4 linked regions of the Struthio camelus genome follow. The protein of the gene in region 2 purifies or fractionates together with the protein of the main gene of each other region. This does not show direct contact. Links are inferred from orthologs where the notes say so. Each region holds a gene or a part of one and is shown on either strand. Other genes may lie near its edges. The genes, in order: DCAF11, CUL4A, GLMN and CDKN1B.

Region 1 (7,121 bases), on a different chromosome or scaffold from region 2:
CAGTGGCCCCAGTGTCTCCAGTGAGCCCCCATCTCTGTCCCCAGTGAACCCCTATCCCTGTCCCCAGTGTCTCCAGTGCTCCCTTTCCCTGTCCCCAGTGGCCCCAGTATCCCCAGTGCCCCCTATCCCTGTCCCCACAGGTCTTGGTGCCCCTATGACCCTGACTCTGACATCCCCAGTGCCCCCCAACCCTGTCCCCAGTGTTCCCAGTGCCCCCCAGCTCTGTCCCCAGTGCTCCTATAACACTGACCCCAATGTCCCCAGTGTTCCCAGTGCCCCGAACCCTGTCCCCAGTGCTCCCAGTACCCCCCTAACCCTGACCACAGCGACCCCGTAACTCCGATCCCACTATCCCCAGTGCCCCCCAACCCTGATCCCAGTGCCCCCAGTGCCCCCCAACCCTGACCCCAGTGCCCCCACCACGAGGCCCCGCCCCCCGCTGACCGGCCCCGCCCCCCCCCGACCCAGGGAAGCGCCTGATGCACGACCCCTTCGCCATGCGGCCCTTCTTCGGCTACAACGCGGGCCAGTACCTGGCGCACTGGCTGGCGGTGGGCGAGCGGGCGGGCGCCCGCCTGCCCCGCATCTTCCACGTCAACTGGTTCCTGCGCGACGGCGCCGGGCGCTTCGTGTGGCCGGGCTTCGGCCACAACGCCCGCGTCCTGGCCTGGGTGTGCCGCCGGGTGGACGGCGAGCCCAGCGCCCGACCCACGCCCGTGGGGCTGGTGCCCCAACCCGGCGCCCTCGACCTGGCCGGCTTGCCCGGCGTCACCTACGCCGACCTCTTCCCCATGGACCGGCCCTTCTGGGAGCGCGAGGCCCGCGACCTGCGCCGCTACTTCGACGAGCAGTTCGGCTCCGACCTGCCCAAGGAGGTGCTGGGCGAGCTGGAGGCCCTCGAGGAGCGCCTCAAGAAGATGTGACCGCCCGCCCGCCGCCGAACGCTGGCCGGCGCCTTCGCGGACCTTTCTTCGTGCTCCCTTGGCCGACGCCTTCGCTGCTGGCTCTTCGCGAGCCGTTGGCCGCCGTCTTCGCTGACCAATCACCGCGTCCCCCTCAATCTCCGCCTTCGTTGCTCGGTCTCCGGGACCTGCTGGCGAGCTTCTTCATTGACCGATCGCCCCGTCCGTTTGCCCTCCATCTTGGTTGCTCGGTCTCTGGAACGTGATGGTCGCCGTCTTTGTTGACCGATCAGCACGTCCTCTCAGCCACCGTCTTCGTTGACCAATCACCGCGCCCCCTCGGTCTCCGTCTTTGTTGCTCAGTCTCCGGGACCTGCTGGCCGCCATCTTCATTGACCAGTCGCCATGTCCCCTTGGCCTCCATCTTGGTCGCTCGATCCCCGGGACCTGCTGGCCACCATCTTTGTTGACCAATTACTATGCTCTGTTCAGCCTCCATCTTTGTTGCTCGGTCTCCATGACCTGCTGGTCTCCATGTTTGTTGACCAATCATGACATCTCTTTAGCTACCGTCTTCATTGACCAATCAGCGCATTGTTTTGAGTGCCGTCTTCGTTGAGCAATCACTGCATCCCCTCAGCTGCCATCTTGGTTGCTCAGTGTCCGGGACCTGCTGGCCACCATCATCTTGAGCAATCACCGCGTCCCCTTGGCCGCCATCTTTGTTGCTCGGTGTCCATGACCTGTTGGCCTCCACCTTCGTTGACCAATCACTGCGTCCCCTTGGCCACCATCCTGGTTGCTTGGTCTCCATGACCTGCTGGCCTCCACCTTCGTTGACCAATCACCGCCTTGCCTTGGCCACCATTTCTGTTGCTTGAGCTCCATGACCTGGCCTCCACCTTCGTTGACCAATCACTGCATCCCATTGGCCTCCACCTTCGTTGACCAATCGCCCTGTCCCCTTGGCCACCATCCTGATTGCTTGGTCTCCATGACCTGCTGGCCTCCACCTTCGTTGACTAATCACTGCATCCCGTTGGCCTCCACCTTCGTTGACCAATCACCGCCTTGCGTTGGCCACCATCTTTGTTGCTTGGTCTCCATGACCTGCTGGCCTCCATCTTTGTTGACCAATCGCCACGCCCCCTTGGCTTCCACCTTCGTTGACCAATCACTGCGCCCCCTTGGCCACCATCTTTGTTGCTTGGTCTCCATGACCTGCTGGCCGCCATCTTGGTTGACCGTCCTTCGTCCGACCGCCCTGTTGCCCGACGGCTCCGCCCACCGGCCGCCGTCGCCTGCTGACTGATGCCACTGTGACCCCATTGGCCGACGTCTCCGTGGACCCGCGGCCCATTGGCCGACGGCCTCCGGTGGGGGGGGGGAGAAGGGAGGGGGCGGCACCTGGGGGGGCTTGGGCCGGCGCCGCCCCTCGCCTGACCAATCGCCGCGCCCTGTCGGCCCACCACGTCGCCGCACCCCATTGGCCGGAGCCTGCCGCCGCCCGGCCCTTTCCCAGGTGCCTTTGGGGCGGGTGGGGACCAATAAAGGAGCCCTCAGGGGGGCGGAGCCAGGTCTGTGTTGTCCTTGGGGGGGGGGTCAACGGTCAGAGGGGGGAGGAGCTATGGGGCAGGGTCAGAGGGGGAGGAGCTAGGACCAACTCGCCGCGGCCAATCGGCAGCTACTGAGGCTCTGTGGGAGCTGTCAGTCACGCTAGTCCCACCCCCCTCACCCCCCAGCCTATCAGGGAGCATTGTTAGGCTTGCTCCTCCCACCCCAGCTGCTCTCCAGCCAATCGGGGAGAGCGCCTCCCCCTCCACGTCCCACCCTCCCTGTCAATCATCTGCCCTGCCAGCCAATCAGCACCTGCCTCGCCAGGCAACGGGGGGGGGGGGAGGGAGAGGCAGGAGGCGGCGCTTATCAGCTCCCGGCCAATCAGAGCCTGCTGTGGGGGGGGCGGGGTTGAGGGGGGACGGCAGCCAATGAGCTGGCTGGGGGCTCCCCCCCCCCGTGGGGGGGTGGTGGCAGCCAATCAGGGCGCAGCGCCTAGGCTCCGCCCCTCCCCGGAGCCTCCGCTCTGGCTGCGTAAACAAGTTGCTGCGGCCACCAGGTGAGGGGGGGGCGCCGCCGGTTGGGGGGGGGGGCGCCTCGGAGCGGCTCCTGATTGGTTGCCGGCGGGGAGGGGGAGCGCCCTGATTGGTGGAGCAGGCCCCCCCCAACCCGGGGCGGCCGTTGCTGGGGGCGCCGGCGGGGTCCCCACCTTTTGGGGGGGGGGGTAGAGCATGCGTGTCCCCCCCCCCCTCACGGCACAGAGGGTCCCCATTGGCTGGCTGTCCCCGTCCCCGCCCTCTGATTGGCTGGCAGCGGGGCACCGCTGTGCCCCCCCCTCGCGCCTCCCCCCCCCCCACATTGAGCTGGGCGACCCCGGGGCTCCGATTGGCCGATACTGGGAGTGACACTGGGGGGGGGGGGGCCGCCCCTCTCCCGGGCCCGTTGCCGGGGGATACCGGGGTCAGCCGGTCGCCGCGGGAGACCGGGGGTAGGCCGGTTGCCGGGGGTCGTGGGGGTGTCAGGCAGTGGCAGGGTGGTCACGGGGGGGGGGAGGGGAACAACCCGGTCGCTGGGGGTAACCGGTGTCAGTCCGGTCGCCAGGGTAACTGGGGGGGGCACCCGGTCACCGGGGTAACTGGGGGGCAGCCTGGTCGCTGGGGTAACTGGTGTCAGTCCGGTCGCCGGGGTAACTGGGGGGCACCCGGTCGCCGGGGTAACTGGGGGGCAGCCTGGTCGCTGGGGTAACTGGTGTCAGTCCGGTCGCCGGGGTAACTGGGGGGCACCCGGTCACCGGGGTAACTGGTGTCAGTCCGGTCGCCGGGGTAACTGGGGGGCAGCCTGGTCGCTGGGGTAACTGGGGGGCAGCCTGGTCGCTGGGGTTAACTGGTGTCAGTCCGGTCGTCGGGGTAACTGGGGGGCAGTTCAGTCGCCGGGGGTAACCGATGTCAGCCCGGTCACCGGGGTAACCAGGGGGCAGTTCGGTCGCCGGGGGTAACCGATGTCAGCCCGGTCGCCGGGGTAACCGGGGGGGCAGTCCGGTCGCCGGGGGTAACCGATGTCAGCCCGGTCGCCGGGGTAACCGGGGGGGCAGTTCGGTCGCCGGGGGTAACCGATGTCAGCCCGGTCGCCGGGGTAACCGGGGGGCCCCGCAGGCGGGACGCCGCAGATGGGCTCGCACAGCAGCAGCGGCGGCGGCGGCGGCGCGGGGGGCGGGCGGGAGGCGGGGGGGCCGCGGCGGCCCCGGGGCCGGCAGCCGCCGCCGCCCCCCCCCGCCGAGGAGCGGGAGAACGAGGAGGAGGAGGAGGAGGAGGAGGACGAGGAAGGAGACATCGACCTGGTGCAAGTGGTGGCCTACCTCCTGCGCAGGTAGGCGCCCCCGGCGGGTGCCCCGGGGCATCGTGGGATACGGGGGTGAGGGGGGGAATGTCCCAGGGCATTGTGGGAGACTGGGGGGGGGAATTGGGGGCGGCCCCAGGGGATTGTGGGAAGGGGGGGGACCCCCAGGGCGCCGCGGGGGGCGGGGGGGGGGAGGACGAGGGGGGCGGCTCTGCTCGTCCCCGAATGTCCCCTAACGCCCCCCCTCTGTCCCCCCCCCCACCGTCGCACAGCCGGCGGGTGCGGCTGGTGCAAGACCCGCAGGCGGCGCGGGACCTCTCCGACGACGAGGAGGAGGATGAGGAGGAAGACGAGGAAGACGCCGAGAGCGCTTGGGAGGGCCGCCCGGGCGACCGCTACGTCCCGCCAGGTAAGCCGGACGCCTGGGCCCCTTGGCATGCGGCGGTGGGGGGGGGGGTGGGAGCAGGGGGGGCAGCGTCTCCCCCCACCCACCCACCCGCCCGCCCGCCGCCGCCGTTAACGGAGCGCTGGCAGCGGGCGCCGGCCCGGACCCGCGGGCGCTGGACGGCCACGAGCTGAAGGCGCAGCTGCAGCTGGCCGAGGGGCGCGTGGGGCCGGGGCCCACGGAGCAGAGCTTCCCCCGGCTCCTGCGGCAGGTAGGGAGCTGGGGGGGGGGGCCGGGAGGGGGGGGGAGGAGGGTCGCGCCCGGACGCCTGGGCCCCTCACGGCGCCCTCTCGCCTCTCGCAGCGGGAATGGGGCCGGTGTCGCAACGGCAGCTTCTCCTGCGGGGAGAAATCCCGCGTCAGCTCGCAGTGAGTAACCGCGGGGTGACGGGGTCGGTTGGGGGGGGACGCGCGGCGGTTGGCCTTGCTCCGCTTGACGCCCCCCCCCCCCCCACTCGGCTACAGCTTCCTGCCCAACCACGTGAGCTTCGCCGAGTGTTACGCGCAGAAAGCCTTCTGCGGCGTCTACTCCGACGACGGCAAGCTGTTCGTGTCCGCCTGCCAGGGTGAGCGGGGCGGCGACCCGCGGGAGGGGGCGGGGGGGGGGGGTCTGTACAGGCGCTGACGGCTGTGCCCCGCCGCAGACCACACGCTGCGGCTGTACGAGTGCCGGGGCGACGAGCTGCGGCTGTTGCGGGCGGCGCGGGGCCGCGACGTGGGCTGGAGCATCCTGGACGTGGCCTTCAGCCCCGACGCCACCCAGTGCCTCTACTCCAGCTGGTCCAACTACAGTGAGTCGGGGTGGGGGGGGGGAGCTTGGGGGGCGGGGCTTGGGCCAGGGGGCGGGGCCTGAAGCCTGGGGGCGGGGCCTGAAGCCTGGGGGTGGGGCTTGAACCCCTTGCCAGGACCTAATGCAGTACTTGCTAGTCGAGCAAGTGGGTTGGGGGTGGGATATGAGCCTGGGGGGTGGGGTTGAGCCTGGGGGTGTGGCTTAGTGTCAGGGGGTGTGGCTTGGGGCGGGGTCTGGCCTATGGGGTGGAGCCTGAGTCCCTCAGCAGCACCCAGCTTCTCTTCTGTCCTAGTCTGGCTGCAGGGAGTGAGCTTGGGGGGCGGGGCCTGAGCTCAGGGGGTGGGGCCTGATCCCAAGGGAGGTGGGGCCAGGCTGTGGGGGTGTGGCCTGAGCCAGGGGGTGGGGCTGGGGGAAGCCCCCCCACCCCCGGCAGGGCTAGCTGTGGGGGGGGGGGAACAGGAGTGGGGCCTGTGAGGCTCCTCCTCCCAGGGGGTGTGGCTGATGTGGCCCCTCCCCCTCTGCCTGTGACCCCGCCCAGTCCACGTGTATGACATCTACGGGGACGGGGACAACCACACCGCCCTGGATCTCAGGTGGGGCTGGGGGCAGGTTGGGGGGGCGCTATGGGGCGGATAGGGGGGGCCAATGGGTCAGGTTAGGGGCTGCATGGGGCAGGTTAGGGGCTCTATAGGGCACATTAGGGGTCTGTGGGGCAGGTTGGGGGCTCTGTGGGGCAGCTGGGGGGTCTGTGGGGCAGGTTGGGGGCTCTATGGGGCAGCTAGGGGGTCTGTGGGGCAGGTTGGGGGCTCTGTGGGGCAGCTGGGGGGTCTGTGGGGCAGGTTAGGGGCTCTATGGGGCAGCTAGGGGGTCTGTGGGGCAGGTTGGGGGCTCTGTGGGGCAGCTGGGGGGTCTGTGGGGCAGGTTAGGGGCTCTATGGGGCAGCTAGGGGGTCTGTGGGGCAGGTTGGGGGCTCTGTGGGGCAGCTGGGGGGTCTGTGGGGCAGGTTGGGGGCTCTATGGGGCAGCTGGGGGGTCTGTGGGGCAGGTTAGGGGCTCTATGGGGCAGTTAGGGGGTCTGTGGGGCAGGTTAGGGGCTCTATGGGGCAGTTAGGGGGTCTGTGGGGCAGGTTAGGGGCTCTATGGGGCAGCTGGGGGGGTCTGTGGGGCAGGTTAGGGGCTCTATGGGGCAGCTGGGGGGTCTGTGGGGCAGGTTAGGGGCTCTATGGGGCAGCTGGGGTGCTGTGGGGCGGCACGGCGGGCGCTGTGGGGCGGCGCCGTGGGTCACGGGGGGCCGCGGGGCGCAGGCCGGAGGAGCGGCGCTTCGCCGCGTTCTCGCTGGCGGTGGCGGCCGACGGGCGGGAGGGGCCGGGGGGCGGAGCCGTGGGGGGCCGGCGGGCCGCCGTGGGTCGGCGCCGTGGGTCACGGGGGGCCGCGGGGCGCAGGCCGGAGGAGCGGCGCTTCGCCGTGTTCTCGCTGGCGGTGGCGGCCGACGGGCGGGAGGGGCCGGGGGGCGGAGCCGTGGGGGGCCGGCGGGCCGCCGTGGGGCGGCGCCGTGGGTCACGGGGGGCCGCGTGGCGCAGGCCGGAGGAGCGGCGC
Region 2 (7,489 bases):
GCATTTCTTCCTACTGCCTCACTTTCTCTATCTGATCAAACACAAGCTACCTTTATCAACATCTTTGCAAACTACCACCAGTCCCAGGCACCATTTCTATTTTAGTAAAATAAAATTACCCATCACCCTCCGATTGCTCTCTGACTATATCTCTGCTAAGCACCTCCATGCTTTATCCCATGCTGCTTCTAATGCTTGGAAAGGAGTATCCTTCAGACTTCCCAGAGAGCCTCATCATTGTTCTTCAGTCTTTCTTCAGCCACCATGCCAAATTAGATAGATAAATCAAGAAGTTCAAAAGCAGGCTGGCGTGAGCCTTGTAGGCCTCTCACTTCCTCTCATAACGTCAGATAAAGGCACACACAAAAAAGCCCTGGTAGTAAAAAGAACTGATACACACACAAAAATATTCCCCTGAGGACTCTGTGCTCACCATCAAGCTGTTAAAAATGAACTGTAAGTACAGATCAGGTTTCCAATAGATGCTGTACTTGGTCTTTTATTCTTCTGGCAGGAGAGTACGTACATAGGCAAAGACACACTCACATCCACTACCTGCTGTACCAGAACCTTTCTGGTTTGCACCTCTACCTGACATACTGGCCTTACAACGTGCAGTTTTTGCAAAGGAGCATGCAAGCCGAAAAAGCAAGAAATAGAGTTTTCCCTTCGCAGTTTATCTGAAATCTCTCTCTTCCTCTTCTGCCAGAACTCAAGTCTATACCTTAGTGATTTCATACCCATATCACTATAATCTCATTTCTGAGCTTCTGAAAACAAGTTAGGCAAAATTCAAAGCATCTGCATGTTTTTGCCAGGCATGAAAAAGCAGGATTTTTCACGTGCTGAGTTTAAAACCATAAAATATGTTATGTAATTCAAACTCTGCAAACTCGTAAGGAATAATAGATGCGGAAATCATGGTCAAGTGGTCCTTTTAAAAGCACCAAATTATATGAAGACAATATGGATTTATTTAATCACCCATTTTACACCCATATATTAAATACCTTAACTAATCGTAGAGTCCAATTTATGCTGACTTTTTGAGTATGGCCTCAGTGTGGACTGGATTTCTCTTCCCTCACAGTCTATGCTTTCCAAACTCCAAACCTACCTCTGCTGAGCATTTAAAAGATTTTTCATGGCAATACTGATGTCTTAAGTCTTGATCTGACAATGAGATCCACATCTGCAGATCAAACATCTGCACCAACAACAAACTCATAACTAACTTCAACTACATAGCACAACCTATTGTATTAGCAGTTTTTTGATAACACGATTATTGTAAAAAAAAAAAGTACTAAAGTGGCATATCTCAAAGCACATACATTTACAATAATATAAAACTACATCATGCATAAATGGAGAAAACGGTGAGGAAGAAATGGCTCATGCCCATTTCTTTCTTTTACCCTTCCTATCCCCTATCCCGTGGTTTAGATGTTCCAGCAATAATTTTTCACCATTTTAACACAAAAATTTAAGACATCAGTTCTTTTGAAAATACAACAGTAATGTGAACCAGAGATGAAGGGATAGTTTGTTGCCTACTCAATTTTAATTCCCCAAAATGTATTGATGACGAAGCCTAATTATTATTATAGCCAATATTTTAACATTTAACAAATATTTTAACATTTAGTATTCACTAGAGACTAAAGCACACGTGGAAGAGAAATCATCACAAATTATACACCTGCATAACGAAGCGATGGTAACATCCAATTTTCAGTATCCTGACGCTTAAAACGTCAGCCCTGCCCAGACGGAGCCTCCCAGGTATCCCAAAATAATTTGCTTTTTCACGAGCTCAGACCCTGGTAGTTTTCCCAGGACCTAAGAGCCACTTTTCTACAACAGTGAAAACGGGCTAGAAACAATACCAAGAAAACAGTCCGGGACATCCAATCCACTTCTAACTAATCAAGACACACCACGTTAAACCTGTAGGTCTCTCCAAGTCCCAAAGCAGTTAACGCTCTGCCTGTTACAATAACCATAAACACTACGCATCTTACCTGGTAGAGCTCTTCAAGGTTGTACTTAATAGAAATGCTGCTCTGTATTGCTCCCACTGCTTCGTGAAGTTTTTGCCATGTGTCCTGAGTATAATTATCTGGTAATTTGGGTCTTTCTGTGGGGGGGGGGGGGGGGGGGGGAGAAGAAAAAAAAATTATACAGGTAGTTGAAAACTAACCAGCCAAGGAACGGCTATCCGTAGCAATCTTTCTCAACGCGCTTTACTCATTTCCCCCAAAGGAATTTTTTTCTGTGTGACCGCTTAAGCGTGAAACAACAATAACAAGGTGGCCGCCCCCACGCGCAGGGCAGGGCAGGGCAAGGCCACGCACCCGCGGCCGGCGCAGCGGGCGGACAGCCCACCCACCCCCCCCCCGGGCACGGGCTCCGCGCACCCAAGCGCCCACCCTGCCCGCCGAGGGCCGCTGGCACAGTCGCTGCCAAAGTTGTGAAAACACACCCGAAGCGTCCGAGGTGTTGACGGGCCCCCGAAACGCTCGTCCGCTCCGAGGCGGCGCCACCCGCCCCACCGCCGCCGCTATCGGCGACATGTCGCCCCTCGGCGGGGCGCCGCGGGGAAGGGGCGGGGAGGCGGCCGGGCCCGCAGTAAACAAAGGTCGGGAAAGGGCCGGGCGGCGGGGGCAGCGGCCCTGGCACCTGCCGCGGCCCCGCCCGCCCCGGGGCAGCGCCGCGCCGCGGGCCCCGCACCCACCTCTGAAGTTCTTGATCACGAGTTTCTTGGAGGAGGCGGTCGCGCTGCCGCCGCCGCCGCCACCTCCTCCTCCTCCTCCTGCGGCGCGGGCGGCGGCGGCGAGCGAGGCGGGCTTGGTGAGCCCGTTAGTGTGGCCCACCAAGGCCGACAAGTGCGGCTTCTTCTGGGGCTCGTCCGCCATCTCCGCCCCGGGCGCCGTGTCCGGCCGGGGCAAGGCGCTGAGCTGGGCTGGGCTGGGGCCGGCTAGGTCCCCGCCTCCGCTCTCCTCCTCCTCCTCCTCCTCCTCCCCCACCGCTCCGGCTTCCCGGCCCTGCCCGCGGGCGGCTGCCAAGTGCCGCCGGGCCGGGCCGGCCCTCGCAGGGGGCGGCGGCACGATCCCCGCTCACAAGATGGCTCCCGAGCACGCCGGGCGGCGGCGGCGGCGGGCGGGGGGGGGGCGCCGCCATGGCCGCGCAGCCCCCCTCTGCCCGCGCAGGGGAGCCGGGAGCGGAAGGCCTGCGGGGGGTAGCGGGGGGTCGGTTAGCCCAGGTAATCCTTCCGAAGGGCCTCAGTTCCCTGCGCTGCCTCTGGCTTTTATTTCGTGGCGTTTGGCACAGGGCTGCACCGTGCTTTCTAAGGAACCGGCTGTTTTTCATGCCTCGAGTTATCTCGCCTTCGGAGCTCTGAAAGCAAGGCAGTTTCAACAGCTAATGCTCAGTTTAGCTTTTTTTTTTTTTTTTTTTTTTGACCCACGCTTATACAGCCCATCCTTGCAGGCAGCGTTGCTCTGGAGGGCACAGCCGTTAACGACCAGAAAGGGACAACAAACGTTGAAAAACTAAGGCCACGGGCGGCAGGGGGGGGGGGGGAAGGAGACCGTTTCCCCAACAACACACCTCTCTGCTATCGCTAGGACCCAGGCTAAAAGGTAACACGAACCCGGGAAGCTAAACGCGACTGCGTGCCTAGCAGAGGGAGGATATGGACCCCTTCTACCAAGCGCTGTGAGAAAAAGGGCAAACAGGAGCCGGGGCCGCCCGCCCTTCACCGCTCCTGTTACCGACACCAACCAGTACGCCAGCCCCTACGCGCTCCTATGGCCACGAGCACCCCCCGCAGGCTCCGCCCCCCACGAGGTTTACCCGCTGACGCGCGGCCTCGGCACCGCCCACCTCGCCTCCCCATTGGCCGCCGGGGGGAAAGCCACGCCTCCCGCCCCTCGGGGGGTGGGGAAGAGGAGAGGCAAGTGCCGTCCCGCTGAGAGCAGCGGGAGCCGGGGTGGCGTTACGTGATCCCTTCCTCCCCGCCATTCGGAGGGCCGGAGCGGTGTCACGTGGGCTGCGCGCGAGGCGGTCGGTGTGCCGGAAGCGCCGTGGCGGTTGCCGGAAGTTGCGCGCTGCGCCGCGCCCTGGCTTGAGGCTGGGCCTGCGGTGAGGGAGGGCCGGGCCGGGCATGGCGGAGGTGCCGCCGGGGGCAAGGGCGAGGGCTGGAGGTGCCGGCGGGGACGTGCTGGGGGATGCGGGCAGCAGAGCAGTCCAGCCGGGCGTGTCCGTGCGGCCGTCGGGGCTTTCCTCCCCTCCCGGCGCTTCGGTGGCGCGATTTCCCCCTCCGCACAAGCTCCGCGCAGCAGGCGGGACGCGCCTGTGCTCTGCTTTGCTTTCCCTGAGGCTGCGTCCTTTCCCTAGAGGCCGGCAGCAGGTGCCGGGTCCTGAAAGACTGGGTAAAGTCGTACCGAGTTGCCGAAGGGGGAAAGAAGAGACCTAGTTGGGATTTTGTCACTTCGTTGTTCTCTAAATCTGCTGTTGGTTTTCAGAATGGGACACAACTGCGTTTAATCGGGGACTCCTGCGTCGTCTACTTCTATTTTAATGGCGCATATCACCATAAATCAGTATTTGCAGCAAGTAAGCAAGCTTTTTATTTGTGGGTACTATCAGAATATAAGGGCATGTGGAGGTTTTTTTTTTTTTTTGGCTGGAAATGCATTTTCTTGTTTAAGAAGTCAACCTAGAATGTGTAATGTGGTAAATAAATATACTTCTTAATGTTGTGATAAGTACATTAACTGTCTGCCAAGGATGTATTCCTGAATAGTGTGAGGACTACTGATATGATGGATGGTGAAGCAGTTTGTCCATAAGAATTAATGTGGTGGAATCGCATGTGTGCGGGGATTTAATAAATATACACAGTTTAAACGCAGAGACAAAGTGTTTGTGGCAGGAGGCTGCAGAGGCAGGAACAGGATCATAAGGATCGTCAGCTGGAGTGAATCCTCAATGTCAAGCTCTACAATTCTTGTTGCTTCTTTTTGAATGATCACGTTTGCATCACTGTTACCATATTCCTTTCTTGAGTTAGGGTCAGTCAAGTTAATTGAGTGAAGGAGAGAAAAAGTGAGTAATTTTTGTTGTTCAGCCTCAGAAATGAAGCAGTTGAGATCTCCCACAACAGTGATTTGCTCTGAAAAGTCAGCATCTTCTCTTGTTAACAGTCTCAATGATCTCTCCTCTCCATCCTCCATACCATATCTGCTGTGGAAGTACTTTTAGATATTAGTTGTTAAAATCCCCTTCCCAATTCCCATGCTTAATTTGTCATATTTTAATGTCTTGGTAGGAAAAATATCTTTACTATATGAAAAGCCTGTACTAAATCAGAACACTCATAGGCAAAAACTCATAGACTAAAACAGCAAGGAAAGCTGCAAAACTGAGGAGAGAACATAAAATCAACTGCTAACACTCTTCCAGAGACTGTTTGCTTTCAAGTAAAGGAGAATTAATATTATCTTCTGCAACTGGCTTTTTATTATTAAATACTATAAGTTCATATGAAATCTATTTGCAAGTCCTGATTGGTGACAGGACCAAATTACATCTGCAGCATCACAAACAGTAATGCTCAAAGATTTTTTTTTTTAATGGTTCACATATATATTTGGTGCTCATAAGTCCAACTGGAATTTTTAAAAACTTCGAATCTATTTCACAGCCGCTATCTTAAGATGCGAAACCTATGTAACTTCTTTTGGGCTTCTCTGATTTGGTTGTATCCTACAGAAAAAAAAAAACCTGTTTACTTCACCTTCTCTCCTGATAGCTTTTTGAAAACAATTAAAAGTAATTAAAACAATTAAAAGTATTAACAATACTGTACCGATATTGATTCCTTCAGTTTTAAACTTTTTAAAACTTACATTTGGGAAGGTGCTGATACGCATGAACAGTGATAACAAGGTAGCTTCCTTAGGTGTATGTAAATATGTTGTCTGGCTGTGGCTAGATTGTGTTCTGTAATATGTTTGTTTTCCTGGGTAGGTACAAGAAGCTATCGACAGCAGAGATGGACAATTTTGTGCGGAATTGGTATCATTTAAGCATCCACATGTTGCCAACCCTAGGCTTCAAGTAAGACTCTGTTATCCTGAGAAAATCTGTTTTTGGCCTTATTTTGTGTTCAGTTTTCCTCTCTCTCCATTGGGATTTCTTTCCACGGGGTAAAATCCTCAGAAATCTGCTTTACACCTCAGAGCAGGTTCCCCTTGTAGGTTTGTTCTCCCCTTTCTTTTACAAGTATACTATCTATCTGCATCTTTTCCTGGATGGCTTTTTGTCCTCCGTTTTGAATTGTTTTCTGGATAGGCGTTTTGAAGGCTCCCTGTGGCCACGTCTGCATGAGCAAGTGAAGTGGCACAGTGGGAGTGGATATGAAGATCAAATCACCTGGTCCTGAAGATCCAGTGCTTGCACTAAGTGTTTCAGAGGCTTTTATCTAAGACTAGCTCTAATCTGGTCCTGTGGACAGAGTGGACGCTAGCAGTTACATTGCACTGAGCGTGAGTCTTAGCATAATGTAAGGTTCTGGTAGATAGCAAAGGCATGCATGCGTAAGACTGCCATGATAAAATACCCTTATGATGTTCTATTTCTGGTGCAATGTCTGTTCTTTTAATGTTTCATTAATTTATTTTATATTTATTTTATACTTAGCTTCCATCTCCAGAAGAAAAGTGTCAACAAGTTTTGGAACCACCATATGATGAAATGTTTGCAGCCCACTTAAGGTAATGGCGGACCACGAATGGACAAGTCATTTGTGAGGCATGCTGTAGGGATGGGGAAGCATAGCCTTGAGTTTACTTGGTTATTTTAAAGGGCTTACATCTGAACATTTGGCATTTACTGCTCTTATAAACAGTGCTAGAATTGCAGGAAATAAAAACTTCTCTTTCTTATGTGCATAGACTTTGCTTTATGCACCTGACAGTCATCTGTATATAGCCCTTGACACAGCTTTGGGTTTGGTGCTTGCTATTTCATTTGTTCTTTTTTACTGGTTACACAGGAATTCAGAGTGAAATAAGGAAGAGAAAGAAATGTTGGGGGGGAGGGGGAGAGGGGAAGGAAATATTCATCCTAAACCTACTCTTAGGACAGCTGTAAGAGTCAAATAATTCTGCAAGGCTTTTATTTGAAAAAATTCAGTATTAACACTATCTTATTAACACTGTCTTATTAACACTATCTTTTAGCTCACTTTCCAAAGTCTTAGAATTTTTTTTTTTTCTAGGCCAGTCTCAGTGACAGTGTCAGTAAGCATTAGCTTATTACAGTTGATACTGTGCAGATTATAGAAATAAGGCCCTGTTCATCTCTCAGATCAGTTTTCCCCAACTGTCAAACTCGGTGCTCTATTAAAATGCTTGTGTCACTGTGTTAGGAATATTTCTAAAAAATATTTCTGTTTTTCTTTTACATAGAGTGTAAGGCT
Region 3 (7,663 bases), on a different chromosome or scaffold from region 2:
GATAAAACGTTTCAAATAGGAGATTTTTTGCTGGTTTTTGAATAGACAAATCAAGGAAAGAAAATTTAAAGAAATTATTGTTGGACAATATTTTGTCCACGGGAAAACCCATTCTTTGAAGACCTTCAGTTGCTACTGAAGATGATCACAGAGATCATAATCAGACTCGAGCAATATTGCCAAAACATTCCATCCCTCCCTTCCTTTCAGACTTCCTCTTTATCTATATTCAACGTAAGTACGTTCTCCCAGCCCCTCAAAGCGCATACACACAATTTCTCTTCCATTAGCATCAGCTTAGCTGTTTGCTCTTACGGTTTTGGCCAATGCTGTTATAGCCATCTGAAATTCTCTCTCCTGCCACAGAGGGCCACTGTCACTTTCTGTTCGTTATGAGGTTGGCCTCTCTTCTCCCTTCTGCTTAACTCACAGGAAAACAGCTGTTAATAGCTTTGTTAAGATTACTGTGACTTGAGTACACAAGTCATAGTAACTCAAATTACACTAGAATGTGCACTTCACACAGACCAACTGATTAACTATTCATATGTGCACCCTTACTCCATAGTGAAAGTAGCTTTCCCACCTCATATGCAGCTTTAACTATTAATGGTGTGTTTAGCACACAGCTAAGACGTAACATAAATCTAAACTTACCTTATTTTTCTCATTTTGAACTACTTCTAATAACTGAGCTGCATATCCATCTTCTAAACACTTCTGGCCTGCTACCTGAAACAGATTAAAATCTTCTCCCCTGAAATCAGCTTCTTCCAGAATTTGCTAGAAAGAAAATACGCATGTTTGACTCTGTATTTTATAAAAGACAAAAAATAAGCAAACCCAAGCTTTCATTGCAAAGTCAAATGGAATGTCTTTTCTTGCATATCATCTTTTATATACTAAAAATAATTACTGAGAGCCACTACAGAAGAGAAAGCAGTATTTCAATAGTATTTTCCAAGTCTAGACAACAGCATGTTACTTGGGAGATGCATTTTCTGCAACAATCTGCTAGCGTTTTGTTCCTTCACACAGCTACTGCTGAGTGAAACAAGAACATATCTTCCTCCAAGAGGCAGAAGTTACCAAGCATCTTGGGATAAGCACCAAAGAGAAGGCAATGAAGCATGAAGGCTAAACCTAGCTGCCCAATGAGGAGTTCTGCTAACAACCGTCCTGCTTTTAGGGTCATTTTGCTTTTAATTACAGTGTATAAAGACAAACTTACTCTGCTTTCGCCTACAACTGTTATGAAAAGTACTTACGCATCTCTGTATTATGGCTTGAAGTTCATCAACTGCCATTATAGTTTGACTTTGTTCTTCTGGCATTTAAAATTTCTGTAATAAATTAAAAAGAGTGCAATACTAAACCACCCAAAGTAAAAACAGAGGTTGAAAAATAATCACATTGTCAAAAGAACGCTGAATAGAGAAATGAGAAGACTCAAGACAAACATATTACGAAGACTGAATTATAGAAAGATAGGAGAAAAGCATCTTTAAGGAGTGTATGCTATATTATTCTACCTCCTGTACTTGCAGGAGATACTATTTTAGACAGGAAGCAGCCTACATTGCGTACAGGGGAGTAATTTTTCAAATGTTATCAGAGGTATCTTAAAAATTTGTCAGCAGGCTTTGGCTACTACATGAACACCTACATTGAGAACTGCAACTACTGCAGAGCAAGTCTGGACTTGCTGCGTACCAGGTGCGGATGTCCCCGCTACGCTACATTTGCTCTGAATATGCTAATCAGATGAGCTCTCTGCTTAGATCTGACTAGAAGGCTCTAATTAGATGATGCCTGGGATGTGCATAGCTGATCCAACCACCGTGCCAGTTTATATCAACACCGTTTTAGTCTCATAAAGATTACATGTGCAGTATCATTTACTTCTTTCTACTGCTGGTTCAGTGGCCTTTTACCTCTAGACACTACAACTGCTGTTGCTGAAAGCAGTTAAGTTAAACATTTGAGTAAAATTAAGTGCATATCAAGTTCTACCTGGTCAGGGCCATGACTTACAAATAAAGTCAAGTTCAGTTTTCTCACGTGATATATCATAGCGGTAGTCACATTCTTTCTTTATGCTTTACGTTAATTCCACGTGCATAAATATGGTTACATAACCACTGTGACTGTATGCACAAGTCACTTGCCTCTGCCCTTGAGTGAACAGCTAACTCTCACGAAAATATCCAAGCTCCGTATCTATACGGCCATCTCCATGTACGGTTCTCCATCTTTCCCCTTAAGTTTGACCTTAGCTAACGCAATACCTACGCATCTAAGCTATTCAGATATTTACAAAAATCAGTCAACTCACTATAACCTATAAAGCACCCGTATGTGAATTTTATTACTGAAAGAATAAATAACTTACTTTCTGTTCTAAATTGCCTATTTTAACATTTCTACTTCACTCCAATGTAGCAATGCATCGGGCCTGTCATTTTAATTTTGTGATTATCATACACTTTGTTAGCATTCACTGCACTACTTCAGCTCTTAATTTTACAGGATCTTACTAATTCCCCCCAAACAATGTAAAGATACTTTTGAACGTTAATAGCCCTGCATTTTCAGCCCTCAGTAACTTTATAATGCATTGACAGCCTTGAGGCATGCCCTGAGCTGCCAGGGATTTGCCAGCTGAGCCCAGAGCCAGTTCAGGTCTTAACACTTAATCCACTTCCGAATTAAGTCTTTTCAGTGGTTTCAGTAGCCAACGACACCTGAATCACGAAGAACTGTCCGCTACCAATTCTCAAGCGAACTGCCCCCTCACTGGTAACATCCAGTTGTTTTCAGCCCCTTCCCTCGCTGGGCGACGGCACGCAGGCCAACGCGAGGCGGCTGCCGCCCGCGCCCGCCAGGCTGAACGAAACGCGCACCACGCCGCCGCCCGCTCACCTCAGCCGCGGCCGCCGGGCTGCGGCCCCTCCGCGCCGCCACCGCCACCGCCTCCCGCCGCTCCGGCCCGGCCCGGCCCGGCCCGCCCGGCCGCCGCCGCCGCCTCTCCCCGCTCGCGGCCGCGGCCCGGCTCCGCCTCCCGGTCAGAGGTCAGAGGGAGGGAGCGCGGCGGCAGCGATGATGGCGGCCGCGAAGCCGCAGGGCGTCGCGAAGGGGAAAGCGAGCCGGCGGCGCGCAGGTAGGCTCCGCGTGCCGCCCCTCTCCCCCCCCCGTGCGGCGCCGTGGGCTCTCCCTGTGCCCTGAGGCCGCTCCGGCGGAATGACCCAACTCGCGGCACAGGAGGAGAGGAGGCCTGCGGGTTCCCGGGGTCTCTGCTGTTGCCTGTGCGGCGACAACGGTTGGAACACCTCCCGGCGCGGCTCCCGCCCTTCCGGCGGTGCCCGCGGGGCTGGAGGGGGCTCTAGAGGTTGCCGTGAGCTCGGTGGGGCTGGGGAGGGGCGGGCAGCGGTGCGGCGCCGCCGCCGCCGCCGCCTCCTCCTGGGGCTGCGGGCCCCGCTTCTGCCGCGGTGGGCGGCGCCGGCGCCGGGCGTCAAACGCGCCGCATTTCACAGCTGATCAAAGCCCCTGAAAATACACGTGTGAAGCTTATCAGTCTGTTTTGTTTCCGCCCTGCTGCTCCGTGTTTGCCTGGACAGTATTGACTGCCCAGAAAGTACTGAAAATGGCTTCATGTTTTTAAAAAAAAAAAAAGTGGCGTATGCACGAAGGAGATGGGCGGTGGCAGGGAGGACGGGGCTCCGGCGGGGGGACGCCGCGTCTCCTCTTAAGTGCGGGAGACGTCAGGTGTGTTGGCACGGAGGGGCTGCCTGGGCGGGCGCAGGAGAGCGGGGTTGGCGCAGGCAGAGCCCCGCTGCGTCGGCGGTGCCGTGCCGGAGGCCGCGGCCTGTCGCCGGGCGGGGGGCCGGGCGGGGGGCCTGCGTGGCCGAAGGCAGCCCCTGCCCGCGGCCAGAGTGAGGGGAGGGTGAAAAAAGGGTATCGCTTCCCAGCGGTGTGGCCGCAGGGGGAGAGCTGCGTTTCTCAGCTCAGACAGAAGCCGTTTTCCTCTCGCTTGCTCGTTATGCAGAGCCTGTCACACGAGAGAACAGCGTTAGGCCTGTCTGTCCGCTCGCGTACAAAGATTGCGTCTAACTAGTTGCTGAGTGGATTACCAGCTTACGGTAGCTAGGCGCAGCCACCAAAAACCAAGCGCCTAAGCAACTGCCTTGATTATGGTTACAGTTTGGAGTTTGTAATGTTTTCCTGGATCGAACTATTTGCACGGTGGCTGAGCATGGAAACATGACAGTTCCGTTTGTTCACGGCTTAAAATGCATTTTAAAGGAAGAAGGTATACTGATTTATCTATTTGATTTCTAGGAAATAAGCATTCAGCTGCTCTGAAGAATGAAGATGCTGCTCAGAGGTACGATTTCTAACTAGTAGTACATAGCGATCTCATTGTTTTGCTTCATTTTGATTATATTCTCCATTTCACTTTTTTCTTTTTCTTTCTCAAAATACCATAGCTAACTTAAGGAAATAAGCCAGTATACAGATCATGCTAACCTGTTTTCAATGATGCTGCATAACTTTTAACTACATACCTTAATATAGAGATACCTCATTCAAACACTTACAAGATAAAACACCACTTCCCTACTTAAAGCACTAGACAAGGTAGTGAGTGATAGTAGCTGTAGAGGGTGGTATTATCATTTTTTTCCCCTTGAAACCCTTTGATTTATTCCTTCTTTTCTTTTGTACCCTCACGCTCAGTCTTGTCCTAGTCCTTTTTCTTTCCTGTACTTGACGCCTCTCCTGTCAATCCATAGATGTTTGTCCCAGGCTTTTGGTCCAGCCCGTTCTGGGCTTCCCCTCCTTTTAAGAAGAGTCAGGTTTTATAGTTGGCTTTTTTAAAAGTAATACTTCTGGTAAAGTAATAATAGCTGACTTAAGTCAAAAGACATTGTTGTTGGATTTCAGACTGTACTGCTAATAATTAGATTTCTATCTTATTTTCTCAACTCTTTATCTAAATCTTGAAACACTGATTTCGGAGTGTCTTAACTCTTTAAGATCCTACTTGAGAAACCAGTTCCTATCCTCTCTGGGGGATTCTCAAATGACCCTTGGAAAAACAGATACATCTCTTCCATCTCTTATTGAGCATTTGCTGAACATGAACCCGGTATTCTTTAGAATGATTATAGCCAACTTTTGAGTCCAGAGCTGTATATTAAATCTTAACAGGGCTAAAAGCTGCAGGACAGATATTATGTGCTGTACAGGTGTGGGGGAGGAGCTGACATCTTCTTGTTGGATGAGCATGTAGCTGGCTCACACAATGACTCAGAAATGTCAGCCTGAGCAACTTGGTCTGGTTTGCCCCTTCCAAGTGCCAGAGATTTGGTTTACATAGCGTTTATTACCCATCTGAATGGCAGACTTGAACTGCGCACTAACTTCATGCGGATCTTAAGTCTCAGATTTGTCATCCTAGACTTGATAGTACTTAGGCCAAGCTCCAGGAGAATAGCTTGACCAGAAAGAAAAATGAAACGTGTTTAACCTCCAGTCTTTTCAGAAATGAAGATTAAATGGTTGTCCTTGTTTTACCTATGGGCTCATACCTTCTTCCTTTAACCTGGGTGGGACAGCATGTCACCTGTTCCAGAGCAGGAAACAAGTGGCTACATGAGCAGTAAATGCTGCCCAAAACGTTCAGAATCTTAGTGCCGATGCAAGTGGCAGGAGAGGGGTTTTTTTCTGGTGAGAGGAAGAACTACAAAGGGAAATCTCTGTTCTGTCACTTGGGCTGCTGGTGTTTAATCACCGTAGTTCAGAGCAGGAGAATAAAATTCAGCAAAGACCAAAATCCGGGTATATCAAGAAAATGTAATACATAGTGGAGTCTCATTGCAGCCACCTGGAAGGATATAATGGAACGTATGACCAATGAGTGCAAGCAAAACTGCAGTTCTTGTGGCAGAACGTGTAATTCCATTGTATAGTTAGACTCTTACATGCTTATGTAGTAAAAAGCGTACCCCTGCCTTTTGAGTTCTTACACTTTTGAGCCTCCTCTGTTGGGAGAACTGGTTTGGGGTGATAGAGTAGTCCTAAACTAGGGTTTCTGTGTGTGCAAAAGATGATTGCTTTTTTCCCCATTATATCTTTTGGTCTAACAAAAATTACTGTCTCTTCTTGCAGAGCTCTCTGTTTTTGTTTTTTTAAGTGTCACAGGCACAACAAACCTACTGATATAGTTAGTTATCTTGTGGCAGCAATGTATTTACTTACCAGACAGGAGGTTCTTCTCCCTCTTGAAGCTTTTACTTTTTTCTTCTGTGGTGTTTTGCCAATAAGAGTCAATGCTTTTCTGACTGAGGGGAAGAGAAAAGTAAACAAAGTTTGGAAACTTGTTTGGTGGCCTGTGATTATTAGAAAATTCCTAGTCCAATTACTTGTTGCTTTGTTAGGCCACCATGGTGAAATGCAGAAAAATATAAGCTGCTATATTTCAGAAAAAAGAGATAGAGAAGACTGGGTAAATTGTTCATGGGAGTCTGCTCTCTCTGTCATCCAGTGTTTGTTCTGTTAAAGGAAAGCAGCCCTGGAGGCTGCTATTAGAAAGAAGATTGAATTTGAAAAAAAAGCACTGTATACTGTTGAACAGCTGCTGGAAGAGAACATCACTGAAGAGTTCCTTGTGAATTCTGTAAGTGTTGCAAGTTTTTATACCATTTTGTATCTTAGCGTTAGAATTTTTTTAAAAAGTTCTTGGAGCTGTTTTCTGCAGTTTAAAGTAGACAAATCTCTTCAGATCTGAGGACGATTGCCGTATTTTCAGGGGTTTTGCAGAGAAAATATGCCCTAGTTTTCAAGGACTGTATACACTTATGTGTATATACTCACTTTATTACCACAGCCTTCATTTATGCCTCTTGAGCTCCTGACTGATGGGTGAAATATTAAAACGGTAGCTCCGGATCACCTCCTCTGTGGATTTAGAGAAAGTTTCTACAATGCTGCTCTTTGCCCCAAAGTTTATCTGGCAGCACTGTTTTGCTGGCGTTGTGTGAGGATTATTCCTGCTGCAGTTACCTGAAGCGAAGCACTGCAGGAACATGTTACAGTTCTGGTACATGTGGGTTTCCTAGCTAAGTTTTCCATGACCAAATTGGAAACGGTACATAGAGTGGGAGCTCCTGCTGCAGTAGGAGAAAGGTGACCACATATGGTGAAATCAAGTCCAGAATTAGTTGCATGGCCCAGGCCAAATACAGGATAGTTTCATCTGGCCAAAGCTGAGAGATCAAGCTCAGGATGACTGTGTTGTGCAGTGGGAATTAATGTGGAGCTTTTCAGCAGTTTTGTGAACATGCCTAACAGTATAACTGCCATTACTTTTACTTGATACTGTAGTTAGCGGAAAATGATTCCGTAAAATGTTTTCTTTCTAATAATAATAACAAAAAAGCAAGTCATCATACTGAAAGCTGTTTCTACAAAGTAAATGGTTTAGATGAAACTTTCCTCACCAAGCTCAATAAGTTTAGGAGCAGGCTTAAGTTAGTTAAGTCCTTCCCTGATATGAATGCCGTAGCCCAGTATATAATTCTGCATGAGGGCATTTTTGTGACTGTAATTGGGGGAGGCGGCACAAAAGACTTCCAAGTGTTTTGGGACTGTGCAGAGAAGA
Region 4 (7,658 bases), about 75 Mb from region 2:
TGTACAGGATCTCCATCCCATGGAGATCGACGATATGTATTTTCATTTTTACTACAAGTTTACACTTTCCTCGCTTCACAGACCCCCGAGGCATCCGATGAACAAGGAAACGCAAATTCCGAACTCTGCAACGGGAAGGAGACGGGAGGAGAAGACATTAGAAACGTCGAAAAGAAACGTGATGCTTTTCCTCGGCGGCCGCCGGGCAGGCGCAACTGGTTCAGGCCGCCAGGGCTCCGCGGGGCGGGGAGCGCAGCACAGCACAGCGCAGCCCGGGCCGCACAGGAGGCCCCGGGGGCGCCCCGCGGCCGCCTCCCCCCCGCCACGGGCCGTGCGCCCCGTCTGGGCTGCGGCCGCGCCGGCGCCCGCCGCTGCCGGCCCGCGCTCCCCCGGCGGGGCGGCCGCTTTGCAGGCCCTGGGCGAGCGGGCCCGAAGCGCCGCGCTTGCGTTTCCTCATCTTTCGGGACACAAACGCATTTTGTGCCGCTGGAGTAAAAATAAATAATGCGAGAACCCTCCTCTCGGCCAGGTTTAACCCCTTTTCCGCCGGCCTGCCGCCGAGCAGCTTCCCCCACCCAAACAAACGGGCGGTAGTAGCAGCATTTGCATAGACACGCATGCTGACGTGCTCTGCCACCGCTCACCCCAGCAGGACTAATTTGTTGCAACTTCTGCTTTACAGCTTAATCTCTCCAGCACAATCGCAAATCGCGTTTGTAAACCTTTCTTCTAACCTCCACTCTGAAACCGCCGGCAGAATTTACCAACTCCCTCCGCCCCAGCCCTCACGTTAAAACAAAACAACAACAACAAAAAAGACCCAGCTCCCATTAACCCACTCCCTTCCCCGTAAACGCACCCTTCTGCCAGCGTCTGAACCCAAACCAAAACAACCGGAAACAAAAAAAAAAAAAAGGTTGTCTAGCTCGCATTTAAAGAAAATGCCCCCGTTCCCGTTCCATCCAACTTATTTACTCAGCCCTCCCGAGGTGGAAGTCGGCTGCTCCGTGCGAAGACAATGCTGACATTGTAAACTACGTGCAAAGGCATCAAGGCGGGAGGGGGAAGCTCCCCCCCAACCCCCTTTGTCACCTGACATGATAAAACCGTCGCGTTTGAAACTCCCGTCCCCCCGCCCCGGCGCAGGCCCGGCAGCCTTTGGGAGAGGAGCCTCCCTTATCCGAGGGAGCGAAATGCGAAGAGGCGGCGGCGGCGGCACCGGGCGGCGGCACCGGGCGGCGCAGCCCCGCGGCCCCCCGCGCCTCGGGCCGCCGCTCCGCCCGCGGGGCTGCGCGCTCGTTTTGTTCCTTTCAAAGAAACGTCCCACCCCCACACACCCAGGCAAAAAGCGTTAGGGGAAAAAGTACGCGGTCTGTAAAGTTTCGGAGGAGAAACGCCTCATCAGCCAGCCTGGAGTGGCCTGAAGCCTCCCTATAGTGGCAGGATATATACCGCCCTCGGTTTCCCTTTCTTTGCCTAACTGGCATCCTAACGCCAGGTCCTAGTGGGAACCTACCTAAACAGTTTACGTTTGATGTCTTCTTGGGCTTGATTTCTTGGGTGTTTGCTCCACTGAACTTGCACTGGGGGAGTCTTCTGAAACCTCTTCTTCTGTTGTGTTGGCTCTTTTATTTTGAGGAGAGGAATCTAGGAGGGGAAAATTAAAAACAAGGGTGGTGGGGGGGAACAGTGATATTAAAATATTTTCCTGCCAAATTTTGCTCGGCATCCGGAGGGGTAGATGGGGCCGGGGAGGGAACATTGCCGGCTCCCCATGTCTACTATCGATTAAGTGAAGGAGAGCAGGGGGAGGAGAGAAGGGCTCCTCCCTAGGTAAAAGAGACAAGCTTCCTGTTTTTATCTAAAATCCCTGTCCGTCCTTTGCTTCACACGGGCGTTATGAAACCCCTGGTGCTGCTCCTCTGCTCGGAGGGAGCCGGGTTCCCGCAGAGGGTGTTACTAGTGTATAAGGGCTTTTGCTTGCAAATCACCCACCGGCTCCCATTGCACGTCGGACGCTCCTGGGACTTAAAAACAGCACCTGGGCTTTTTAAGGCGAAAGGAGGCTGGGGGTTGTGGGGCACCTAAAACGGTGCCCGGCGGGGCAGAGCCCCCCCGGAGCAAGGACGCGTATGGTGCGGGCGAAGGGGTCGAGAGCCCCGGCGCTGACACCATCGGGGCCCGCACGGCTTTCGCAAGGGTACGTTACCGTCAGTGGCAGGTCTTTTCCTCTGCCCAGTGCACTGCTCTGCAAAGTCCGTCTGATTTTCAGAAACATCAGTCTTTTGATCTACACAGTGAGTGTCCTCTGAGATTCCCTGAGAACCAACAAAAATCACGGTCTGGCAATTCCCGTTTACATCCAAGCTCTGGTGGCCGGCGGACTTGCAGACGGCTTTGAGTAGCCTCGGGGGCCTGAAGTAGAAGTCGGGCGAGCTCCCCTTCTCCACGGCTTGCCACTCGTACCTGCCTTCCAGGGGCTTGTGATTCTGGAAATCGAAATTCCACTTCCTCTGGCATGCCTCCTCCATCTCCTTGCAGTGCTTCTTCAAGTCCCTGTTTAACTCTTCGTGGTTCACCGGCCCGAAGAGGTTCCTGCAAGCTGAAGGCTTCGGGTACTCCGACTGCCTGGCCTCCATGCGCTCCAGGGTAGGGCTCCCATTAGAAATGCGTACGTTTGACATCTCCCCCCACAACCCTCTTTTCTTCTGGCGGCGGTTGTTTTTCTCGCTGCTCTCCCCCCACCCCTCCTCCTCCTCCTCCTCCTCCTCCTCTCTGCCTTTTATTTCTCCGCGGTGAAAGCTTTTCTTCCGCTCCTCCTCGCCGCGCTGCCCCGCTCTCCGGCACCTCCTCGGGACCGCGGAGAAGAGGCGACGGCAAACAATCGCATAAGCGCCGGGCCGGGGCGAGGGGAGAGCCCCGACGGCCGCCGCCGCCGCCGCCGAGCCCGGGCGGGTCAGGCGCTGCGCGGGCGAGCGCGCAGGCTGCGAGCGGCGCTGCCCTCCGCGGCCCGGCCGGCGGCTCCGCGCTGCCCGCCGATGCCCCGCCGCGCCCGCGCGCCTCGCCGCTCTCCCCGCGGCCGCGTAGTAAGGGCGAGACGGAAAAAAACAAGCGGAGACGAGCCCTTTTCTCAGTTGCCCAATATGGCGATTGAAGGGAGGCTGACGAAGAAGAAAATGATTGACAGGACGAGTCTATTTAAACAGCGGAGCCGAGCCATTGGTTACGGCGGCGGGCGCCGCCCCGTCGGCGCGGCCCTACCTCGCCGCCGCCGCCGGCTCTAAAGGTGGCCCCGGCGGGGCTGCCGCCCCCCGCGCCCGGCCGCAGGGAGGGGGCAGAGGGGACGGAGCGGGCAGGACCGCGAGGGAGGCGAGCGCTGTGCCAAGGCGCCGCTCGCCCCGAGCCCGCTGGGGCCGCACAGCCGCCGCCCCCCTCTGCAAGGGCCGGGCTGGGCTGAGCCTGTGCTCCCCTCCGCCTCCCCCCCCCCCCAAAAAAAAATAATCCCGTCGCTTGGCTGAAAGGGCTGAAGTGAGAAATGGTGGCGGCTAGTTACATTTTGACCCGTTCTTGCGACAGAAATGGCCCATCGCTGCTTTTCCCGGGACTGGGCTCCTGCGCTGCAGCACCCCAGGTCGGGAGTTCAGGCAGGCCCGGGGCTAGCAGGGGGCTCGTTCCCCCGGGGCGTGCCGAGAGGACGGGCACCTCTCCCTGTCAGCACCCTGACCCGCCAGCACCCTGACCCAGCCCGCTGCAGAGTCAGGCTGGTGGCTCTGAGGGGAAGGCGCGAGGGCGGGAAAGATAACCTCTTGCTGTCCTCCCGACAGAGAGAGGACTAGGTGAAAAAACGGCTCTAAAAACCTCTGCTGGGATTTCAGAACTCGGCAAGCCGGGAAAAGAAAACAAAAGCATTAGTTTTCGTCCTGTTTGTGTGCTCTGAAGATTAGATGAGCCAAGAATCACAGCCAGGGATTTTCTAAGCTACTTCCTCAGCTAGCTGCAGCAGGTATGGTGGAGATAAGAGGCACATAGTGTCCTCTGCTCTACCCTGCTTATCTCCCGCCCCTTCCTCAGCCATCTCCCATCACCAGGCAGAGCGGCCCCATGGACAGCAGCAGGGCATGTCGCAGGACACTGCAGGTACTCTGGAGCCAGCACACCCCCAGGATGCTGCCGCCTACTGCTAAAGGCCTTGACCTCTCCGGGGACCCGGGTCCAGTTTGGGAGCATGGAGGCTCTTCACACCAATCCGTCTGCCCATTTCTTCTCTGCAGGCAGGCCAACCTTCTCCAAAGCTGGGACTGCAGCTGTGACAAACTATTTCAACGAGGTGGAAGTCAGTACAACTAGGTGTAACTGGCTGAGAGAACAGGGTCAACTGATTTGGCCTTGAAGACATTGAGGTTTTTACCCTGTGCTGAACACATACACATAGTGCTTTGGGGTCTACAGTCCTGAAGGGCCACTGAAACTTTGACTGCAATTGCTCTTGTGAAGTGACGAGCTAAACTCTGCAAACACTGGGAGAGGGAACATAACAGTTATACAGAACTCAAGCCCTGGGCAAAGCAGTCTGCTGGCCTGCAGCAACCCGGAGGTAGCAGCCCCCTGGCCTTTGCTCAGCCCACTCTCTCCAGGGTAATCTCAGTATTGCCACCTCCAAGTTCAAAAAATGATGTGTGCAGCTAAAACAAGAAGAATACAAAATGAGATTGTTTTAAAACCCACAAGGTTGAAATAAAATATTAGCCATGTTATTTCTATCTGTTTGCTCGGTTTTTTTAGCACTCAGAAGTTGTTTTCCAACTTCTCTCAGCAACCACAAGTTCTAGCAATTCACTTGCAGAAAATTAAAGCTGACATTCTCATGTCTGCAGGAGCTTAAGAGTTTTCTTGAGTTTCAACTCTCTGATAAAACTCCCTGAGCTGGCAAAGTGGGGCCTATTCGTCTGCTTTATTTAAAGGATTTTTTCTTCCTTTCTCCAGGCTTTTCCTGTCTTTGACTTTCATAGTTACCAGCACGGAAGTGTGATTTCAAACTTTTCTTCACTTTCTCTGCCAGGTGTAGGACACTTGCTTTGCTATGATTAAACAAAAGAGCCAAACACTAAGAAAGCAATATGCAAAATATGTCCTGGGGCTCCCCTGAAGATGCCCAGGGCTCATAGTGCTGATGGGGCCTTCATGCGGCAAAGCCTGCTGATAATCTGCTGAAGGTCTGACCAGTAACTTCTTAGCTGAGAAATTCCCAGTCCCTGCTCCCTGGCTGCTTGGGAGCCAGTGTACGATTCCTGAGTCCATGAGGGCTCCAGAAGTCCACAAACAGTAACTCAGAGAGGCAAGCCCCTTGGTAGGATGAACGACACCGCACCTGGGTACAAACCTCCACCAAAACAAAAATAATGGGGGGCGAGCATTGGGAAAAAGATTGCGTGTGCCACAGGTGAGCAAACAGGAAGGTGACTACAGCAGAAAGGAGCACTGATTTATCTATAGCTTTTGAAAAAGCAGAGCTTTAGAGCAAGTACCTTCTTTTTGGTTCTGCTTGTACCGCCCCTAGCACCAGGACCTAAGACTGAGCCCCCAGATGCTAGAGTAGTAAATGTACCTGGATAATTAAAACCAGTAACTAAAAAAACGGGGGGGGGGAAAATCAATGGAGCCACTGATGGCAGTGAAAGCAAAACGAAGTAGGAGTGGTCTGCATCTGGCTTATGCCATCACTTCTTCTTTTAAATCTCCGCGCGCGGCCACGGCGGAGGGGGGCCCCGAGGCCGGTGGCCGCGGAGGAGGCAGGTGGGCCGGGGGGGCCCGCGGCGCCTCCCCGGGCAGTAGAAGGGGGGTCCGGGGCGGGCCGGGGGGGCCGCACCTGAGCCTGCAGCGGCCCCTCTGCAGCTATCGCGGCCCCCGCAAAACGCTGCTCCCCGGCCCGGGGCTGCGGCACACTCGGGTCGCGCTGGGATAAATGAGCGTAGTGACAGGGGGAGAGGGAAGGGGGGGGTAAAAAAGACGCAAAAATAGCAGGGCGGACACGAGGTTGCGCGGCCCCGGCGCGGCACTTGGCTCCCCCCGCGGGCAAGGGCTCGGCCGCGGCGGGTCCACCTTAAATCGCGGCGGCTGCGAGGAGAAAGGCTGTGTCTGCAGCGACCTTGCCATGATCTAAAGTGTTTTGTTTACAGTCAGGCACCCCCGATGGCTGCAGCAAATAGCGAGAGAGGCAGGCGCCTGCTGTAGTAGCAGCGAAGCGTGAAAAAATACTATAGAGCCCCGCAGTAAAGATCGCGAAATATCAGAGCGCCATCGTCTTGCAAAAGCCGGGCACAGCAGCCCGGCCCGAGCAGGGGCCGTGCGCTGCCTTGCGCGGCCGCGCAGCCGCCTAGAACTGACGAGGAGCCGAGCCCCGGGGAGAGCCAGGCTCTTCCCTCGAGGTTGCTAGCTCTCTCTCTTTCGCTCTTGCCATTTAAGCTGAAGAAGGAGAGGCAAAGATCGGGAATGGAGGATTAGAGAAAGGGAGACACGAAAAAAAAAAAAAACTTGGAGGAGAGGACTAGGAAGGAACGAGGACTGTTTATACGGAGGTCTGTGCGAGGAATGTCCTGGCTAATGGTCTCTGAACACCCTGTCCCCTCTTTTCCCAGTACCCTGCTCCACTCTCCTATTTGGGCTTTAGCACTGGCAGAGCTTCTCCATGTTGTTTTCCTCCCAAACTGCTTCGGCAAGCTTCCCAGCCTCATTTTGGCCACCCTCCTTCCCCAACACTTAATGAGGTTGTCTAACTAAACAGCAAAGCACATTAAACTATACACATAAAGGATGTGAGTTTGGGTTGTTTGGGATTTTTTATGTTCCCTTACAAATTGTAGGTAAATTGGGAATAATACCTGAGCTGCTCCACAGGATGCTTCTTCTAGAGCTGAGGGTGAAGGTGGCATGGCATGAAATGAGCCTGTAAAAGCTGAAGGCTTGAGGAAGCTTCTGACCCACCTCTGTTTTTATTGGGTTGATTGTTTCCTCACACCTCCAATATTTCAGGAAAAATGCTAGCTTCCTCAAGGAATTTGGGATGAGGCCATCATGAGATGCAAGGCACAGACCCCAAGATCTCACCACAGGTCACTAGGGATATTCTTAACATGCCTAAAAGTAACCCTTCCCTTGTTGGCAGAATTAGGACCCTATTAGGTTTAGCAGTAGCGTGTCACAGAGGAAACAGGCCTATGCTATTTTCTTCTACCAAGTCTCTCAGATATAATTCACCAGTGACCAGCACTAGAAAAATGCACGAGGGGAGCTACAAGAAGCCCAAACCCTCTTTCCTCAGCTTGCTGTAGGGACAGAGCATGGTTTCCCAATGGCTTAGCTGATCCTGCTGCCAGCTCTGCCTGCTCCTCCTTGCTCCAGGCAGGAGGAGAGCTGCAAGCGCCCAGCCACCGACCTGAACTCCCCAGACTGACAAAAGATGTGGAAGCCAACTGGAGTTTTAAGACCTTTTGCTCATTTGATGTAAACTCTAGAGGGAGCCTAAGGACAAAGATCACGCCAGAGCCAGTAAGCCGGGTTGGGCCAACCTCCCAGGGAACAGCGGGGCTGGGGGAGCCCTGGCTGCCATGGGGTTGGCCTGGGGGAGGGCTCTACTCGGGCAGGGGCCTGTTCCCACGGTT

What was found.
Region 1: the proteins of CUL4A (region 2) and DCAF11 purify together in Homo sapiens (affinity purification with mass spectrometry; 13 studies listed by BioGRID and IntAct, counting the BioPlex papers as one, with this or other methods). This does not show direct contact. The link is inferred for Struthio camelus from reciprocal best matches to the Homo sapiens genes CUL4A and DCAF11.
Region 3: the proteins of CUL4A (region 2) and GLMN purify together in Homo sapiens (affinity purification with mass spectrometry; 5 studies listed by BioGRID and IntAct, counting the BioPlex papers as one, with this or other methods). This does not show direct contact. The link is inferred for Struthio camelus from reciprocal best matches to the Homo sapiens genes CUL4A and GLMN.
Region 4: the proteins of CUL4A (region 2) and CDKN1B purify together in Homo sapiens (affinity purification with western blotting; 5 studies listed by BioGRID, with this or other methods). This does not show direct contact. The link is inferred for Struthio camelus from reciprocal best matches to the Homo sapiens genes CUL4A and CDKN1B.

The regions. Positions count from the first base shown.
Region 1 is NC_090970.1:262,886-270,006, reverse strand, and holds the start of DCAF11 (DDB1- and CUL4-associated factor 11), read left to right. Parts: upstream 1-4,108; 5' UTR 4,109-4,122; coding exon 4,123-4,322; intron 4,323-4,564; coding exon 4,565-4,701; intron 4,702-4,826; coding exon 4,827-4,948; intron 4,949-5,040; coding exon 5,041-5,105; intron 5,106-5,201; coding exon 5,202-5,302; intron 5,303-5,380; coding exon 5,381-5,527; intron 5,528-6,064; coding exon 6,065-6,119; intron 6,120-7,121. Other genes in the region: PCK2 (phosphoenolpyruvate carboxykinase [GTP], mitochondrial), read left to right, coding at 469-923. UniProt on the Homo sapiens protein: May function as a substrate receptor for CUL4-DDB1 E3 ubiquitin-protein ligase complex.
Region 2 is NC_090942.1:156,807,775-156,815,263, forward strand, and holds the start of CUL4A (cullin-4A), read right to left. Parts: upstream 3,004-7,489; 5' UTR 2,919-3,003; coding exon 2,738-2,918; intron 2,646-2,737; exon of another isoform or gene 2,577-2,645; coding exon of another isoform or gene 2,486-2,576; intron 2,141-2,485; coding exon 2,025-2,140; intron 1-2,024. Other genes in the region: PCID2 (PCI domain-containing protein 2), read left to right, coding at 4,585-4,620, 6,037-6,126, 6,709-6,782. UniProt on the Homo sapiens protein: Core component of multiple cullin-RING-based E3 ubiquitin-protein ligase complexes which mediate the ubiquitination of target proteins. As a scaffold protein may contribute to catalysis through positioning of the substrate and the ubiquitin-conjugating enzyme.
Region 3 is NC_090949.1:18,831,893-18,839,555, reverse strand, and holds the start of GLMN (glomulin), read right to left. Parts: upstream 3,008-7,663; 5' UTR 2,923-3,007; intron 1,344-2,922; 5' UTR 1,335-1,343; coding exon 1,269-1,334; intron 784-1,268; coding exon 658-783; intron 1-657. Other genes in the region: putative RNA polymerase II subunit B1 CTD phosphatase RPAP2, read left to right, coding at 3,100-3,160, 4,339-4,384, 6,565-6,679.
Region 4 is NC_090942.1:81,531,030-81,538,687, reverse strand, and holds the start of CDKN1B (cyclin-dependent kinase inhibitor 1B), read right to left. Parts: upstream 3,009-7,658; 5' UTR 2,685-3,008; coding exon 2,210-2,684; intron 1,648-2,209; coding exon 1,526-1,647; 3' UTR 1,517-1,525; intron 126-1,516; 3' UTR 1-125. UniProt on the Homo sapiens protein: Important regulator of cell cycle progression. Inhibits the kinase activity of CDK2 bound to cyclin A, but has little inhibitory activity on CDK2 bound to SPDYA. Involved in G1 arrest. Potent inhibitor of cyclin E- and cyclin A-CDK2 complexes.